Linked DNA regions of Mus musculus. The protein of the gene in region 1 purifies or fractionates together with the protein of each later gene. This does not show direct contact. Links are inferred from orthologs where the notes say so. Each region holds a gene or a part of one and is shown in the gene's direction. Other genes may lie near its edges.

Region 1 (8,480 bases):
TTAATCTGTGTCTTAGAGGAGTAACTGCAGATTAAGGAACGAGATCTCAAGCCTTCAGGACAAGCCCTTGGTCCTTCTTCTCAAAGGTGATTCTTAGTCCAAGTTGCTGTGCGTCTAGGAGAGCTTTTGTTCATTTGGGCAAAATTCTGTGTAGACAAAGTATTTATCAAGAAAATTCTATGTTGTTTTTCTTGAAAGACTTTTCCACTGAATCTCATCTTTTTCTGGAAAACTGGCAATGAACCATATGGGGATGAACCATATGGAGATGCACCACCATATGGGTATGAACCACACGGACGACAACATTACCATGCCACCTCACCACCACCCGACCACCTCAGCCTCACACTCCCACGGTGGAGGGGACAGCATGATGATGATGGTAAGAGTCACACACTCGGGGGTTACCCAAGAGGGAAACCACAGCACGCACACACACATACACCCAGTGAGTCTAGAGACTTACCAGCGTTCATGTGGCAGGCTTGTTACAGAGTGACACCAAACCCAACATTTTCTACAATCCTTTCTTCCCTAATCCTTTTGAAATTCACCTTTTCCTGAATTAAATCCTAGTGTTTGGTTTGTGATACGTGTACAAAAGAGAAAGACATGAGATTGGGGGCGGGGCGGGGGGGGGGGGAGGGATGCACTCTTAGTGCCAAGGTGGTAAAGCCTCCCACTGCTTTGAGTACTTCTAATCCTGAGGTTACCTTTAACTGTTTGCAGACTCTTAGATCATTCCCATTAGGGTCCTCAGCCTTCTCTAACTGACTTGTTTGGTTTTCTGGCAGCCTATGACCTTCTACTTTGACTTTAAGAATGTGAATCTATTGTTTTCCGGTTTGGTAATCAATACACCTGGAGGTGAGTAACCATCAGATAACCTTCGAAGATGACAATGTCATGAGAGATGATGATGTAGATTTAGAAACCTGGCACCTCTCTGTTCCGTCACTGGGTCTGTATGGTTGTGCTACATAACATCACAATTCCTAGACCCTAGGCAGAAGAGGCAACACAGTTTTGCTCCTCCAGTGAGCTTCCTTTATGTATATGGTTTGGAGCACTAATATATAATTAAAATGCCAGATAAAGATCTTTTTCAATTCTTTTCTTGTTTGCTAAGTTACTGATCCTAGGCCTAAGACTATATAATTAAAATGCCAGATAAAGATCTTTTTTCTTTTTTTGGGGGTGGGGTGGGGGGTTAGTTGGTTTTTTGTTGTTGTTGGGTTTTTTTGGGTTTTTTGGGGGGGGGTTGTTGTTTTTGGTTTTTTTTTTTCTGAGACAGGGTTTCTCTGTGTAGCCCTGGCTGGCCTAGAACTCACTCTGTAGATCAGGCTAGCCTCAAACTCAGAAATCCGCCTGCCTCTGCCTTCCAAGTGCTGGGATTAAAGGTGTGTGACACCATTGCTAAGCTCCAGATAAAGATCTTTTTCAATCCTTTTCTTGTTTGTTAAATTATTGATCCTAGGCCTAAGACTATAAGCATACTCAAATATCACAGTATAACCCAAGGTTAAAAACTGAGAGGCAGAGGCAGGAAGATCTTTGTGAGTTCAAGGCCAGCTCATAGAGAGTTCAGGCATAGATGCTGCCTCCAAAAACAATAGTGTTAATCTCATAACTACCTGTTTACAGATAAACCTAAGCCTCGTGTAGTAGAAATGTTGTTCCCTGAATCACACAGTTAGTATCTCAGAGCTAAAACCAGGACCATACTTTCTAGAACTCTCTAAACCAGTGCTCTCTCTGCTGCATCAAATGATGGTTTCCATATCCCTGATGCTTGGCATATCATGGAGCCTCACTTCCTTTTAAGGTAGCTGTCATTTATCTTTCTGTATCTATCATAGATTGGTATGCTTTACATTTAAACTGCAGTTGCATGAGTTTAATAGGCACCTAAACTGCATTAGGTACCAAACTTATTTTGGAAATAACCTAGTTTGCTTTTGGGAGTGGAAGAGAAAGCGTTAGTCCTGTTAGTGTATCATATAAATACACTATAAATACATTTATCTTATCAATGCTTAGCTATATATGCATAATCCCTTAAAATGCCTATTCAAAATATAGAGGCAGCACTTGTAAAAGCAGGTTGTTTTAGCTGATGTGATAGTGTGCACCTTTAATCCCATTGCTCAGGAGGCCAAGATCAACCTGGGCTACACAACAAAGTCCTGTTAAACAATAAGACAACAGTTGGCTGTTCCTTCTTTCAGTATTCTGTATATAATCAGAAAGTATGATCCTGAGCAGAGGCAGAGACTGTTGTTAATGGCTCAGCTCCACTGAGTGGGTAGAAACACAACCATGCAGTTTATTCACAAACTGAGCCTGATGCTTTTTCTGTTTGGTTTGGTTTGAGTTATGCCTTGCCATGTAGCACAGGCTAATTGTGTACTTGTCATTTTCTGCCCCAGCCTCCTGAGCACTGGAATCATAGGCCAGTGCCAATGTGACCGACCAGCAGTATGCTCACTAAGTTTTGACTGTACCGTCACCTCTTCCTTCTTTTCTCTCTTCCTCCCCTCCCCTTTCCCGTCCTGTCCTTTTTTCCTCAGAAATGGCTGGAGCCTTCGTGGCAGTGTTTTTACTAGCAATGTTTTATGAAGGACTCAAGATAGCCCGAGAGGGTCTGCTTCGAAAGTCTCAAGTCAGCATTCGCTACAATTCCATGCCTGTCCCAGGACCAAATGGAACCATCCTAATGGAGACACACAAAACTGTTGGGTAAGAAGATGCAACAGATCCAAAGGGAAATTCTAGAGATCTCTTAGTAATGTAGTAAGGCAGGCCTTCTTCTTCCGGAGTTGGTGATTCTAACTTTAGAAGTTCCAGGTTGTGGGCTATGGTATTTGGGATCCTGCAAAAGCACATACACGTTTGTTCTATGTTGTAAGTGTCACTCTGAAAGAAGTTTAACAGTATCTGGTTTTTAAAATATTTGCTATGTAGTAATGGGCATTTTAAGATATAGTTAAGATATAAAAGAATGGCAGAATGCGATTGATTCCTTCCTGTCGAGTTAAATCTAATCAGATATGATGGATGCCGGTAGTCCCAGCACTTGGAGAAGGCTGGAGGACCAGAATTCAAGGCTATCCTTGGCTACACAGTGAATTTGAGACCAGCTTGGGCTCATGAGACCCTGTCTCAAGGAAAAATCAAAAGTTCTTTACAGATGTGTGCGTGCGGGCGTCAGTTTCCAGGATAGCCGTGCTGCAGTCCAGTTAGGCTGTTCTCCTGAGCTGCAGGTGCCCAGGTCTGACTCTCCTTCTCTGCTTATCCCCAGGCAGCAGATGCTGAGCTTCCCCCACCTCCTGCAGACAGTGCTGCACATCATCCAGGTAGTCATCAGCTACTTCCTCATGCTCATCTTCATGACCTACAATGGGTACCTATGCATTGCAGTAGCAGCAGGGGCTGGGACGGGATACTTTCTCTTCAGCTGGAAGAAGGCAGTGGTGGTGGACATCACAGAGCACTGCCATTGATATCAGACTCCACATATGGCCTTATTAATTGCTGTAGGAAGCATCTTGGGACTGGAAGATATGATTCCCTTTCCAATCATCCCTTCTCTCTCCTGTCTATACATACACACCTACTGAATAGAAGCCTAGCTGACAGTCTCTGAATAGTGGTTTTTCTAATAAGATGAGATTTTTTTCTCTTGGGAAGTCACCTGTGAGATGTCTTCTCCCTCATCATCCTGAGCCTTATCTAATCCAGGTAGCTTCCTAGTTAAAGACTTGGTTATCTGCTTCTTTTTACTTCTCCAGGTTTTGATTTGTTTTGTTTTGTTTTATTTGCGGGGGGAGTGGGATACATTTTGTTTTAAACAGATATGTGTATTTGATAGGTGGGATTCTGGGTCAGTGATAAAAAAGGATTGTAACAGGATTGATGGCACTTAGGGACATCTCATCCAACCGGGACTTAAATTTCACACTAGAAATGAGCTCCAGTCTTAACTCAGTGAATGGGAAACACATGTTCCTCTCTCCAGGTTACACTGAAACCTGTGTAGTGTGTACAGAGTGGGTAGGGACTAAACACAGGCCTAGCGTCTATGAGTCTGTATTCCTGCTCAGTCATCAACTTGTGTTCCTATTGAACATTTGATCAGAATGAACTTGCCAATCAAAACAAAAACAGGACAATCAATTTAAGACAACAGAAATAGAGATTGTTAAATAAAACCATTAGTATTTTACTTTGACTCAGTACCTTGGTTTGTCCCAACTGAATAAGAGTTTGTATTGTGTGTGTGTTCCTTGAAACCAATGATTTTCAAACTTTACAGCTTCAGAATCACCCAGAGGGCTTGTTAAGACACTACTTGGTGGACCTCAACCCCAGAACCACCAAATTTGGCATTTCTAAGTTCCTAGGTGATGTTCTACTCACAGTCAGTCCAGAGGATTACCTTAAGAGTCTCTGCATTAAACTAGAAAAGTTGCACCTAGAAGGGACAGAGGGTGGGGCTACCTGCTATCAGGCATGAACATGTGAATTGCTGGTTAGTAGGTGGTATGCCTTGGGCACATGTCACATCTAAATGCTGCTGGTCGATACTTTATCATTCCACAAACATTTATTCACTTCCAAATATGTTTTATGTATACCCACATACAGTGTGTGGGATTACAGCCAAAGTATACTTGTCAACATATACGAAGTCTCTAGTCCTAACTTTTAAAGATCTAAGGTTCCTTGGAAGTTATTTGAAGGCCAAGAGACCTTTGCTCTGCTGTGTGAGTCAGCCAGTCAAAAGCCCAGAAAGGCAAAAACCCAGCTTTCTTGTTTGGAGAGACATGGGGCATGTGTCTGCCAATAGCCAGTTGTTCTCAGTGTGCACTATGTAGGTCCCCATCCACTACTTGACCACCTTTATCATTTACGGGGATTTACATAGATTACAGTGGCCAAGACCCCTTTCTCAATGAAGGATCTCATTGGACGTCCTGTCAATCATTAATCTACATGCAGGCTTGTTCCCACACTACCTCTTTAAAGCGATTCTTCCTATGCTGGTCTGTTCAATCCTGCCCTCTTTGGTGCTAGATCCAGTTGTGCCTCAGAGCAGAAGAAACAAACCTGCTGTCTTGTTGGCCCAGTGTTTCAGTTTTGAAGTGTGTACTTTCTCCTCTGTGTGTGCCAATTACATATTAGAGAACAAGGAATGTGTACTTTGGTGGCTTTGAACCAAGAAAAGGTTTTAAGCCTACTGGATGGAGTCTAAAATTCTTAGAAATCAACTTTAGAGCTTTGCTTTTCTCTGAGTTCATCCTGCAGTGAATGACAGGTACTGACAGCCCAACATTAAGGTGCAAATAGCCTGTTTGTCATATCAGAAGCCATGGAATAATAAACCCAGGGGAATCCAGAAACCACACTTAGTGGTAACCCTGGTGCTCTCTAGAATCTCCAAATGAGCTGCTATAAAACACCTTTCAGGGGCTGAGATGCAGCTCTGGTGTGAGTCACTTACCTAGCTTATGTCAGGCCCCTAAAAGTAATGCATAAACTGTCAGAATCGGGACCTTATCGTTGAGGTGAAAAGAACCAAGGCCCGTAGGAACAAGGTGCTATGAATCTGAAACCAAGAGAAACCTCAGTTTGGCATGGTTCTTCAGGGTAGCTTCCGAGTAGAAATAGTCTGCTGCAAATCCTAAACTTAAGATCCCTGCGCTAGGTTGCTAGAGACTGCGGTTAGTGCAGAACAGAGGTAAGCCTAAGTCCCATCCTCATGAACTTCAATGCCCAGCCTTTGTGTTTATTTTATCTAAATGTCTCCTTTCATCTGTGGGAAAGCTATAGCTGAGTGTCTTTAGCCCCTGCCCTACTTTTCCCTCTCTGACTTTTTTCCCAGGTAGCTTAGTGTTTAACATCTCTCTCACCATCCTGATGCAGTAGCATGGCTATTGCTGAGGTTATTTTACCTAATAATTAGAACTTTGTATTTACAAAGCAAGTAGAGGTCTTAAATTTGCTTCAAGAAGCAGTTGCTCCACTGGAATTTCTATAAAGCTGGGTAAAGGGTTAGCAGAATTACAGATCTTAAGTACTAACTGCAGTCCAAGATGGAAGAGTACTCAGCAGCCACTGCCCTCATCAGGAACCTCCTCGGCATCCATCAGTCTCCTCACTGCTCCTGTGCGCAGGGCTGTCCCTCCCACACTCCCTTCCAGGCCGTGGCCTTCGCTTCCTCATTAGAATCAGGAGAGTGAGGCACAGTGTCCATCATGCCATTTAATCTTGTGCCTGCCCTTTCCAGCCTCTTCAAAAGATGCATCCAAACAACAGGTCTGCATTTGATGTAATGCCTTAATTACTGGGGCCACATTCACGTTGACTGTCTCAGAGACTGTAAGCTCCCGGAGAGCAGGGTTGCTGTAATGGGAATGTTTAAGTGTTGTGTGCAAGAAAACAAAATAAATATTTTGATTTTCGTGATTCTATGCATGTCTGTCTACACACTGTCCAAATAAGCTGGTTCTGGGACGTCAGTCTCCTCCATGGCATGGCCTTGTTGCTCTCCTGCCACTCTTAAGCAGACCTGGTGCCTGCCACAGGGTCAGCATGACCTTGTGCATAGCACATAGCAGCAAATATTTCAGTATAGGAGCGATTCTTAAGTTCAGAAACTAACCTTTGCCGCCTTTCATCCGTAGTTCATAACCCCTGTGTTCATGCCATTAGGCGGCAGCACTAGCTTCCAGGAGGCTCCCGGGCAGACTGTGCCCATCCCTGTAGCAGAGGGGAAGTATTACTGTTAGTGGTCTAACCGCTGGCCCATCATCACCTCTTCTGCAATGCTGTGGTAAACATCACCTTTGGGGACAGCTGGCTCAAATCTAGGCTACACCACATAGGAACTGCTATCCTAACTGTCTCAAAGCCATTGATAGTCAAGTGTGGTGACACATACCTGTCCTTCCAGTGTTTGACGTTGAAGCAGAATGATCATGAGGAAAGACCTGGACTACTTAGTGAAAGGTCTTCAGTTTGGGGGTTCAAGGGAAAACAGGTGAATTTTCCTTTTGGGCCAGAAGTTTATTAATACCATAAAAACACAGACAGCAGCATGAGCAGCTCAGAGAGCTCAGGCCCTAACACCAGTAAGTCTACCTCTGCTTTCTGTGGCAGAGAGAAGGGAGGGAATTCTAAAAGAATGTGCCACTCAGGATATAGGGGAAATAAGGAGGAGAGGTACATACAGATGGCAAATGTGTCCCACCGGAGCCCCTCTACTATCCTAGAGTCTAGCAACCTGGTCTGTAAGTCAAAGGAAATGAAGTATAATCCTGACACCTGGGTGTGGTGTTTACAGACACTCCACAGCTTCTGTCTCTCCCTGTAGCAGCAGGGATCTCGGAACCAGCTATAAAGATAGAGACAGAGAGGACTGCAGGTGGGTATAATTGCAGGTGGGCCTGGGATTCTGCACAGCGAGGGACTCTGTTGCAAAAACAAATGGCTATGGGTGTAGCTCAGTTGGTTGAGAGCTTGCCTCGTATGCCTTTCTAAGCTCTAGGTCCAATCCCTAGCATGCCCTGCATGTGCATACACACAAAGAAGTACTAGCACCTATTTAAATTAAGAGTAATACAGATAAGGCATCCCACACAAGACAGGCACCCAAGCCTTACTACATTTTTCCTGTGTACTGATTATATTACACCTGAAGGCTTCAGGAAAATGAAAGGTCACTCTTCTGAATAAAGTGACCTCCTGGGTGCTGGTAGTCCCGAAACAAACAGATCCTAAGGAACACAGCATTGATACATATAATTTAGGTATGCCCAAAAAAGATTAGCAATTGCAGTAAGTCCTGGTCTACTGATGAATAATTGTCTCATTCTGTTAATAAGAAAGCATAGGGCTGGAGAGGTGGCTCAGTGGTTAAGAACACCGACTGCTCTTCTGAAGGTCCTGAGTTCAAATCCCAGCAACCACATGGTGGCTCAAAACCACCCGTAATGAGATCTGATGCCCTCTTCTGGTGCATCTGAAGACAGCTACAGTGTACTTAGATATAATAATAAATAAACCTTTAAAAAAAAAAAAAAAGAAAGCATAGAAAATCTTGGAAACTTGAAAATAGGAAATTTTCTCTCCCCCACACACTGCTTTCTTAAAGACTCAGCTGAGACCACTTAGAGAGCAATGTAGTTGAGGCCATTAGGAGCATGGGATTGGAAAGCAGGTGGCTCCACAGCTCCCACTTCGTGGCTGAGCTCTGGTTCGCATCTGCAAACTCAGAATGGTGTGCCCTCTCAGGAAGTAAGAGAGTCGGCACTCAGCACTCTCATACAGCCCTCTGCACGACAGCTGTCAGGACAAAGGGCAAAACACGAGGGAGGCACAAAAACAACTGTGGGGATCCTACTGGGGAGTTGCAGTGAAGGACTGAGGCAGGCAGGCAGATCCTTTCCTTTGTTTCCTTTGCCCGCTGGAAGGCC
Region 2 (8,580 bases), on another chromosome or scaffold:
TGGCTAATCTCAACTATCAATTTAGTGAAATTGAGAATCACCTTGTAATAGGCCTTTGAGCATGCCTGTGGGAGACTGTCTTGATTTGATTAAGGGAGGTGGGAAGACCTGTCCACTATGGGTAACACCATTCCCTAAGCTGAAATCCTGGACCGGAGAGGTGAAAGTGAGGAGGGCACAGGCATTTGACAGTCCTTGCCACTACTGCCACTAGACATAATGTGACCAGCTGCTTCATGTTCCTGCTGCTGCTACGTCTTTGTCATGATAGATTGTAACTCAAAAATGTGAGTCAAAATAAAACCCTCCTTTAATTTGCTTTTGCCACAGTATTCATAGAGTCACAGGAAAAATAACTAAGATAATATGCTAACATTACTTAAAGGGTACCTAGGGAGTTACCTGGGATTAGGAACAATCATGAGGACATTAGCAGCTTTGAAGATTGCTGTCTTGTTATATGCTTCTTTAAACCTCAAAATGTCATATGTTTCATATTAAGTATAAAAACAGTCATAATGAAATATATTCAGAAATGTTGGATCAAATTAAGTCATGCTCATTTCTTTACTGAGCCATTAAATAGCCACTAAATAATAAAATACAGTACTACAATTGTCAGGAATGTCTTTGGGATCCATTTACTCTCTGAGCCTCTACGTTTAGCCGAGTATTATACTTAATTTTTCTCTTTGAATTAAAATGACTAGGAAGGAATCCAATTATTATACTTTTTAAAAAATGACAACTTGGAGCAATCTCAAAATTTGATTTGGAATGCCCAGCTTTGGCCCCAGTATAGCCAGTGACTAGTAGGACAACCTAGAGGTCTCTGAGTTCCAGGGCCCTCTCTACCCAGCCCAAGATTCCAGCAAGAGTGGTAGGGAAGGGCGTATGGAAAGCACGCTAGATATCAGGTCCATGTCACAAATCCTCTCTTTAGCTCTCCATACCCAGCTGTTGTACAAGTCTTCTTAAATATTTGTCACATTAACCTCACCCCTTCTCCATCTTATTTGCCTTAGTGGGGCCCTTCAACCTCTCCAGCCCTGATGAAGTTTTTTATGGAGGCCTGCTATTGTTACATTATGGGTATAGTATTGTTACATTATGGGCACGGTATTGTTACATTATGGGCATGATATTGTTACATTATTGCCTTTCTTCTTTGTAGTATTTCCCTTTAATTTTCTTCTCCCAGACTTTCCTATGTGGCAGGGAGTAAGAGAACTTAGTACCTTTCCTCAATATCTTGTAGTAGCTCAACTCCCATCAGTCATTTAACGTGGGACAGAGGCTATTTGCTTTAAGAATCTCATTTGCATTTTTAGGGTCTTGACTTTTGAGTTCACGCAACATGCTTTATCCAAATAAAGTAAACATTTACACATTATAAATTATACACATGAAAATAAACATGCACACTTCTTCTTTGGCTGAGATGTTCCTTTCCATGTTGTCTTCCAGTGAAACTTTTATATAACTTTTAAAAATTTCGTTCCTGTTTTTACTTCAAAAACCACTACTGACACTACAGCGAGGCAGTCATCTTTTGGGTTACCGCTAGGCTCTGTATAAATCTCCATCTCAGCATGTGGTGTCATGTGGAGGGTACCACTGCCAGATAGGAAAACACCATATTCTACTCAATTTGAAATCTGTAGTGCAAGGCTTGATAGTTGCTTCAGAATAGACTCTCAGCAGATATTAGTTGTCTGGATCCGGTGGCAGGAAGGATTCAAGAGTCTGGACAGGACACTTAAGGCTTTGTTGTTCCTAATTACCTGTGTGACTTAGAAGTGTTTGGTGTTTCAGGTTCCTTAATCTGTATTATGAGGAAACAGAACCAGATTTTCTAAAAGGGACTCTGTAGCTTTAACAGCTAACATGACTTTCTATTAGAGGTTATTGCCTTGTCAAAGAATGATTTTTAAAAATAAAACAATTTTGAAAAAGGGAGAGATTTCAAAGAAAAACTTGAATTTCCTCTGTATCTTGGAAAACATACAATGTCACTATGATGGACTAATACTTCTAAAAGTTCACAGTGGAGATGATAGGTAGAACTCAGGGGTAGATCAACTACCTGAAATGTGAGGCCTTGGGTTTGATCCCTCATTCCTCAAAACAAAACCACAAACAACCCGGGACAATGATACAGGTCTGTACTCTGAACGATGAGGCAGGTTGCAAGTTCAAGGTCTACCTGGATTACAGAGTGAGTTCAAGGTTAATATCTGGGTAACCTGTGTAGACTTTGTTTCAAAAACAACAACAACAACAACAAAAACCACTGGAGATAGAGGACAGAGTGAAGGCCTCTCATGTCCAAGGACCTTGGTTCAATTTCCAGTGCTGGACAAAACAGCAAACCTCAACAGTTCACCATGGCCCGAGCTGAATCACATGACTTTAAATGAGTACATGTTCTTTGATCCACTGGGTGGATCCTACTGAGAAGACGCTGTGTTTGAGTCTGACCTAAGTCATCTACGTATGCTTGCAGGTGTAAAACCAACCAACATACAGTTTGCTCTGTGGTTCTGATTCACAATAGTATGGATTCCCCCTACCTCCACTTGAAGTCTATCGAACTTTTGGTATCATGTGTTTTCATGCTCTTTCCAGAAATAACACCATCTTAATTATAGGCAAATCCAAGGCAATCTATTCTAATTAATTTGGCAAAGTATTTCTTTCACATGAACAACTGATGTTTCTCATCCGAGAGGTCACATGCTTGAAGAGTTATTGTTGGAACAGTGTGTGCTCTTAAAGCCTGGGAAAACCACATCCTGTATTTCAAGGATGCGATACCAACTATGAGCCAGGAAAACATCTTTATCAAGTGGGCATTAGGAGATTATCTTTCATTTATCCTTCCGGGGCTTTAGCTAGGATTGCCTTGACATTTTTGCAGTGACATTTTAAAAATGGAGTTGTCAAGTCTACCACAGAGCTGAGGGTTAGGAAACAGAACCTTTAAAAGCTGAGAGTGCTCCCTCAGTCCAGGGAGTCTGGCGCCTCCGAATAAAGAACCCAGCTCTTCTCTATTGTATTGCTTCCTCTTCTGTTGCCCATAGACATCACTTTGTCACCCATCAGAGCTTGGCTCCCCAGCAATTTTGCCAGTCCCTCCAAGCTTCAGCTGTCACTGGCCAATGGGAGAGACGCAAGCCCCGCCTCCTCCTTCCTGGGGCTGTGCCCCGAGCATGCGCAGTGGGCGTGCTTGTGCCGCCGCCCATCAGCTGAGACCGGCTGCGCCAGGCAGTGGGCCCCCGGGTGACAGCGGCTGGAGGTGGCCGAGGAAGCCGGCGAGGTCAGGGTAAGAGGAGACTGCAGAGGCGGGGGAGAGGGGGGCGGGAGGGACACCTCAGAACTGCAGCTCGCTAGTGGTTGCTTTGGGGTGCGCAGAGCGGGGCTCCCCAGGGCGCAGGGCCGGCGCCTCCCTCTCGGGCTCCCACGCCCCGCTCCGGACTCCGGGACGCGACGTGCGAGCACCGGGGCGCGCGGCAATGGAGCCTTGGGGACCGGATACTACCGCCAGATCCTGGCAGGCTACGACCGTGTTCCCATTCTCTGTCAACTTCTCCTCCGAAGAACAGAAAGGGAAACGCGATGGGCCCTGGTCATCTGGCCACAGGTTCGTTCCGCGGCCCAGGGCCTTTGCTTGGCTGTTGGCCTTACTCACACAAGCTAACTTTCTTTGACCTACCTTGTGCTCGTTTCAATTGATTTATGCAAGACACATAACAAGGTAACAAGGTATTTCGAGAATTCGCATATGTGTTTTCTAGGTTAAATTCAGACCAAAAAAAAAAAAAAAGCTTGGACGAGGGTGGGAAGAGGAAGGAAGCTTTACAGTCAAATGCTAATTTTTCCTTATAGCTGTTAAAATTTTGCTTGCATTTTATATGCATATATCAATTTTTGATTGCGTCAGATCTCGTATTTTGTCAGGAATTATTATTTACAAGTTTTCCACAATCAGGAAAATAAAAGGAATTAACTGTGAAACACTGGTTTGGTCCTGTTGGAGGTAGGCATTTCTTTTAGGTGTACTCTGAGCCGCAGTGAACAGAGATTGATAACACTGTTAAATTGTGCCTTGTGGTGCCGATGGGTCTTCGGCTTTGCAAGCTGCTTTCGAAGTTGGCCCCCAGGCTTGTGACTAGTTAAGAACGAGGCTGTAGTTTCCCAGTGTCTGGGGAAGTTAATAGAACACAGTATTAACTCACTGACCTCTGGGTTCTTTTCCTTCAGCTAGCTCACTTCTTATGCTGCTCCTGATTAACAGTCGTTTCTAATTCTGATTATTATCCCAAGTTCATCCATACGCTGCTGGTGGAAAATTATGAATAATTATGTTGAGCTATATGCCACTAAATGGTGTGTGCACAAGGCCCTGGTTCAGTCCCCAGTACTGCAGGGAAATATTACCTCTATGTCTACTAGTACTGCTAGATAAAACTCCCACAGTTAAGTCTGTGTGGATTTTTCTCTGGTTCAGTGTAACTTGAAATATTAATGTGTGAAACTGTGGAGGAAAAAAAATCTTGGTTAATTAAGCTGAAACCAAACAGTGTAGCGTTTGGATTGATGAAGGAGCTGGGCAAAGATGCACTTGTGGACCGAATACTCATATGGAAGATTGAGCACCCTCATGATTGATTGTCTCCTATGATTCCTCTCCTGTTTGTTTTAGGAATTGAAAACAAAGAGTGTGAATGCTCCCATCTTCTAAGTATGATGCATCGCTTGAAGTAGAAGTTACATTGATAGAGACTTCTCATTTCAGACCTGGCATCTTTAGTGTGTGATAACACCTTACTGAGACAAAGAGCTAGTCCTCAAAGGGGCTGGGTGTGTATCATGGAAAGGGCCATCTACAGATAGAAAGGGACACTGAGAAAAGCCCAGGTAGCAATAAGCCTGAAACAGTATTTTAGAAATGTTTATATTTACTCTTAGGCTGGGCATGTGTTCATAGGAAATCGGTACACTTGTTCATTCAGACTTACAACATTTATTCAGGATCTACTTTGTAGCCAAGTACTTAGAGAATAGACTAAGTCCAAGATTTACACTCCCCCACACACCACACATACACACACACACAAACACACACATACACACAGCACACACACACACCATACACACACTCCACACGTACACACCACACCCCACACACACATATACACCACACACGCAATACACTGCACACACATACCACACACACTCACACACCATACACACACATCATACACACCACACACACACACACACACACACACACACACACACACACACACAAAAATTAAAACCTGGGGAACAAAGGAGGAAACTCATATTTTATGCTGGGCTTCATGATTAAGAAAGTGAAACTGACCATTTGATTTGAGCAGGCTAAATTTTAAGCCAGTGTCTGCTCAGAGGAAGTCTTCAAGATTCTACAGTATGTCCATTAGTAACTACAGGGTAGTGTTTTACATTCAAGACTCTGTATCAAAATCCCCTTTGTTCATTTTTAAATTGCCCTTTCCACACAGTCTTGAGACAGCGCTCACTATAGGTGTTACTGTTTGACTCTCCCGTCTCCTCTTTCACCTTAGTGTTTATCTTCATAAAAAGATAATTACTGAGCTGTTGAGTTGAACCCTGCCCAGTAGTACTTTCTGTGGGGGATGAAGGGAATATGTGAGCTGTCCCAGCTGCTGGCCACTGGCCACATACAGTTTCTTAGCACTTGAAAGGTGGCCGAGGTGGCCTTCTTCTACCTTAGTTCATTTTGATAGTTGTGTGCAGGCAGTGCAGGTGCACATGAGGAGTGATGTAATTATTTTGAGCAAAGACACTAGGACACAAATGCTTTGAGTATTGCAGCTCAAGCTAGGCAATGCAGATGGTTATAGAGTACAAACATTTTATAAGCATAGAGTTAATTAGCTCACATGTAAAAACAGACTTCAGAGCCATTTGTCAATAACTGTCTATAAACATAAGTGTTTATTTCTTTCCAACAAAGGTAACCACTGTCCTGGTTGTTCTGTGTTTTATCTGAAGAGCCAACTCTTATCTTTTAAACGTCATCATAGCCTAACAGGACAGAAAGGGAGAGTGCCACTCAGAAGTGTTACCTCCATCCAGGCTTGTTTCCTTGATGTGAAGAAATTACCCCTGGGCCTGCAGCAAGGTAGCAAGTTTGGTTGTGTAGTTGCCCAGGTCCACCTGTGCTAAGTTGTTCTACAGAAGCAATGGGGTTTAGTCTAGTGTTTGTGACAATGTGAGCTTCCAGATTTACTTTCAGAGTTTAAATCCTCTGTTCATCTCAGCAATGCCTCCATTTCTTTGTGAAAAACTACAGTAGCAGTTATGCCTCCTGCAGAGCCTTTCGACATTGAGGGACACAGCCATAAAAGTCACCACATACAGGAAATTCCTTTCTCAAATTCCTGTTCACCACTCGAGACAGAACCGGGGTGGTCATCTCCATACCCCTTCTCTAGGTAGGTAAGCTACACATAGATGAAAAGGGGAAGCTCTTAGAATGGGTGAAGCCCACATGTCTCACCAACAGCCGCATCCTCTAGTTTGCTTGGGTACAGAGATGAGAACAGCTGGCTGTGCATGTGACTGTCTGACTTAAATTATGGGAAGAAAAAAAACCCTTTAAAGGAAAACACTGAGAAGCTTTGGACTATATGTGTATGAATTTTGAGAAGAGAAAGCTGGAATCCTTTGCAAGAATTAACGGTATTCTGACATTAGTCTCTGTGTGAGGGGTGTAGGTTCAGGGCAGTTTATGGCTGCATGCCTCTGATGAGAGCCCACAGGTGCAGGAGCACATCAGACCTGTCCTCTGTGTACAGTAACAAAGCACTTGGTCCCATTATCTTATTTTGATCTTGGCAGGAGGCCCAGATGCTAAGGATCTTGCCCAAGGTAGAGATTTCTGGTTGCCAGTTATCCTGGCAACTGAACAGTCAGGTGATGAGTTCTAGTAACTTCAAAGATATAGGAGAGAGGGAGGGAGGAAGGGAAGGAGAGGGAGAGGGAGGGGAAGGGGGAGGGGGAGGGAGAGAGGGAGGGAGAGGGAGGGGAGAGAGAGAGAGAGAGAGAGAGAGAGAGAGAGAGAGAGAGAGAGAAAACATTAAAGGTGTCTTTTGTAGGTAGAGATGTGAGACTTATTCGTGCCCATGGTTACAGGAGAAGTTACTCACAGGGTGTTGGTGTAAACTGAGAGCACTTTTAGAAGCCTGATGATGCCACTGATCCAAGAGAAAATTGTCTTTATCCATTTAGTATATTATTTGTCAATAAAAGGCATTGAGATACTCACAGATCCTACAAGGATCTTGAAAATACATAGAAGACAAACAAGTCAGTCACAGAGAAAACACACACACACACACACACACACACACACATACATATATAAAACATTCCACTCATGTGAAACATCTAGAATACAAAAACATACCAAGTGGATTAATGGTTCTAATGGCTGAAAGGTTGGGCACAAACAGGAGATGAAAAATGATGGGAAAGAACTTTCTTCTCAGAGTAATATGCATTATAAAAGTCACACATTGATTATCACAGACCTTTGTTATCACATTAAAACCATTGGATTATATGATCTGAATGGTTACAGTTGTATATGAATTATATCTTAATAAAGACCTGTTTTAAAAGGATGGGATTAGCAAAATGGCTCAGCAGGTAAGGGCACTTGTTCCTCAGCCTGATGACCTGAGGTTAGTCTCCAGGGCACACATGGTGGGAGGGGAGAAACAGCTCTGGAAAGTTGTTCTTTGGATGTGATAGGGTGTTTCCCAGAGGGAGGGAAACCGGGATAACATTTGAAATGTAAATAAAGAAAATAGCCAAGAAAAAAAAAAAAAGAAATTGTTCTTTGGTCTTGATGCACTCACAGTAGCATGTGTGTCACACACACACACACACACACACACACAATGTAAAGATATAATTGATTTGTAGACTGCATAGAACGTTGCCAGGGAAGTTGATGCTGCAGGCTAAAGCTTGAGTTTGAGATTGAGCACAAGCTAAGTGGCTCCTGTGCTGGGATTGCAGGTATAGAACATGACACCTAGCTTTTCAGAACTGCCCTACTCAGTTTCGCCCAGCTCTTTCCATGGCTGCAGTCCTAACTCAATGCTTCCCAGAAGGCAGCTTATTCCTGCTACACTGCCATCGGGGGCCAGCTGTTAGTTACGTTTTTGACTTTGCTTTTAAGTTGGTTGAGTCTATATCCTCGACCTGGTTTGTGTAGAGCAAGGACGGAGAGTGGAGAAGACACCAGAGCTCCTGAGACTGTCTGATGTCCAGGGACATCCCATGATGCGCAGAGCCTGCTGTACCAGCTCGGCTACTCTGTTTCCTCCCAGCACTGTCCCCCTGTGCCTTCCCTGCACTCGGGTTCTTTGTAGATTCAACCCAGCATTGCATCAAAAATGTCATTTAATTGTATCATGGTAGAACATTCATACATGTTTCTCTTTTTAGCATATTCCCTAAACAGTGCATTATAACAACTATGTACATAGCCTGAGACTT

What was found.
Region 2: the proteins of Slc31a1 (region 1) and Stx7 purify together in Homo sapiens (affinity purification with mass spectrometry; 3 studies listed by BioGRID and IntAct, counting the BioPlex papers as one, with this or other methods). This does not show direct contact. The link is inferred for Mus musculus from reciprocal best matches to the Homo sapiens genes SLC31A1 and STX7.

What each region holds. Positions count from the first base shown.
Region 1 is NC_000070.6:62,385,294-62,393,773, forward strand, and holds the end of Slc31a1 (high affinity copper uptake protein 1), read left to right. Parts: intron 1-198; 5' UTR 199-238; coding exon 239-385; intron 386-797; coding exon 798-870; intron 871-2,573; coding exon 2,574-2,742; intron 2,743-3,304; coding exon 3,305-3,506; 3' UTR 3,507-6,476; downstream 6,477-8,480.
Region 2 is NC_000076.6:24,146,084-24,154,663, forward strand, and holds the start of Stx7 (syntaxin-7), read left to right. Parts: upstream 1-3,205; 5' UTR 3,206-3,325; exon of another isoform or gene 3,326-3,643; intron 3,644-8,580. UniProt on the Homo sapiens protein: May be involved in protein trafficking from the plasma membrane to the early endosome (EE) as well as in homotypic fusion of endocytic organelles. Mediates the endocytic trafficking from early endosomes to late endosomes and lysosomes.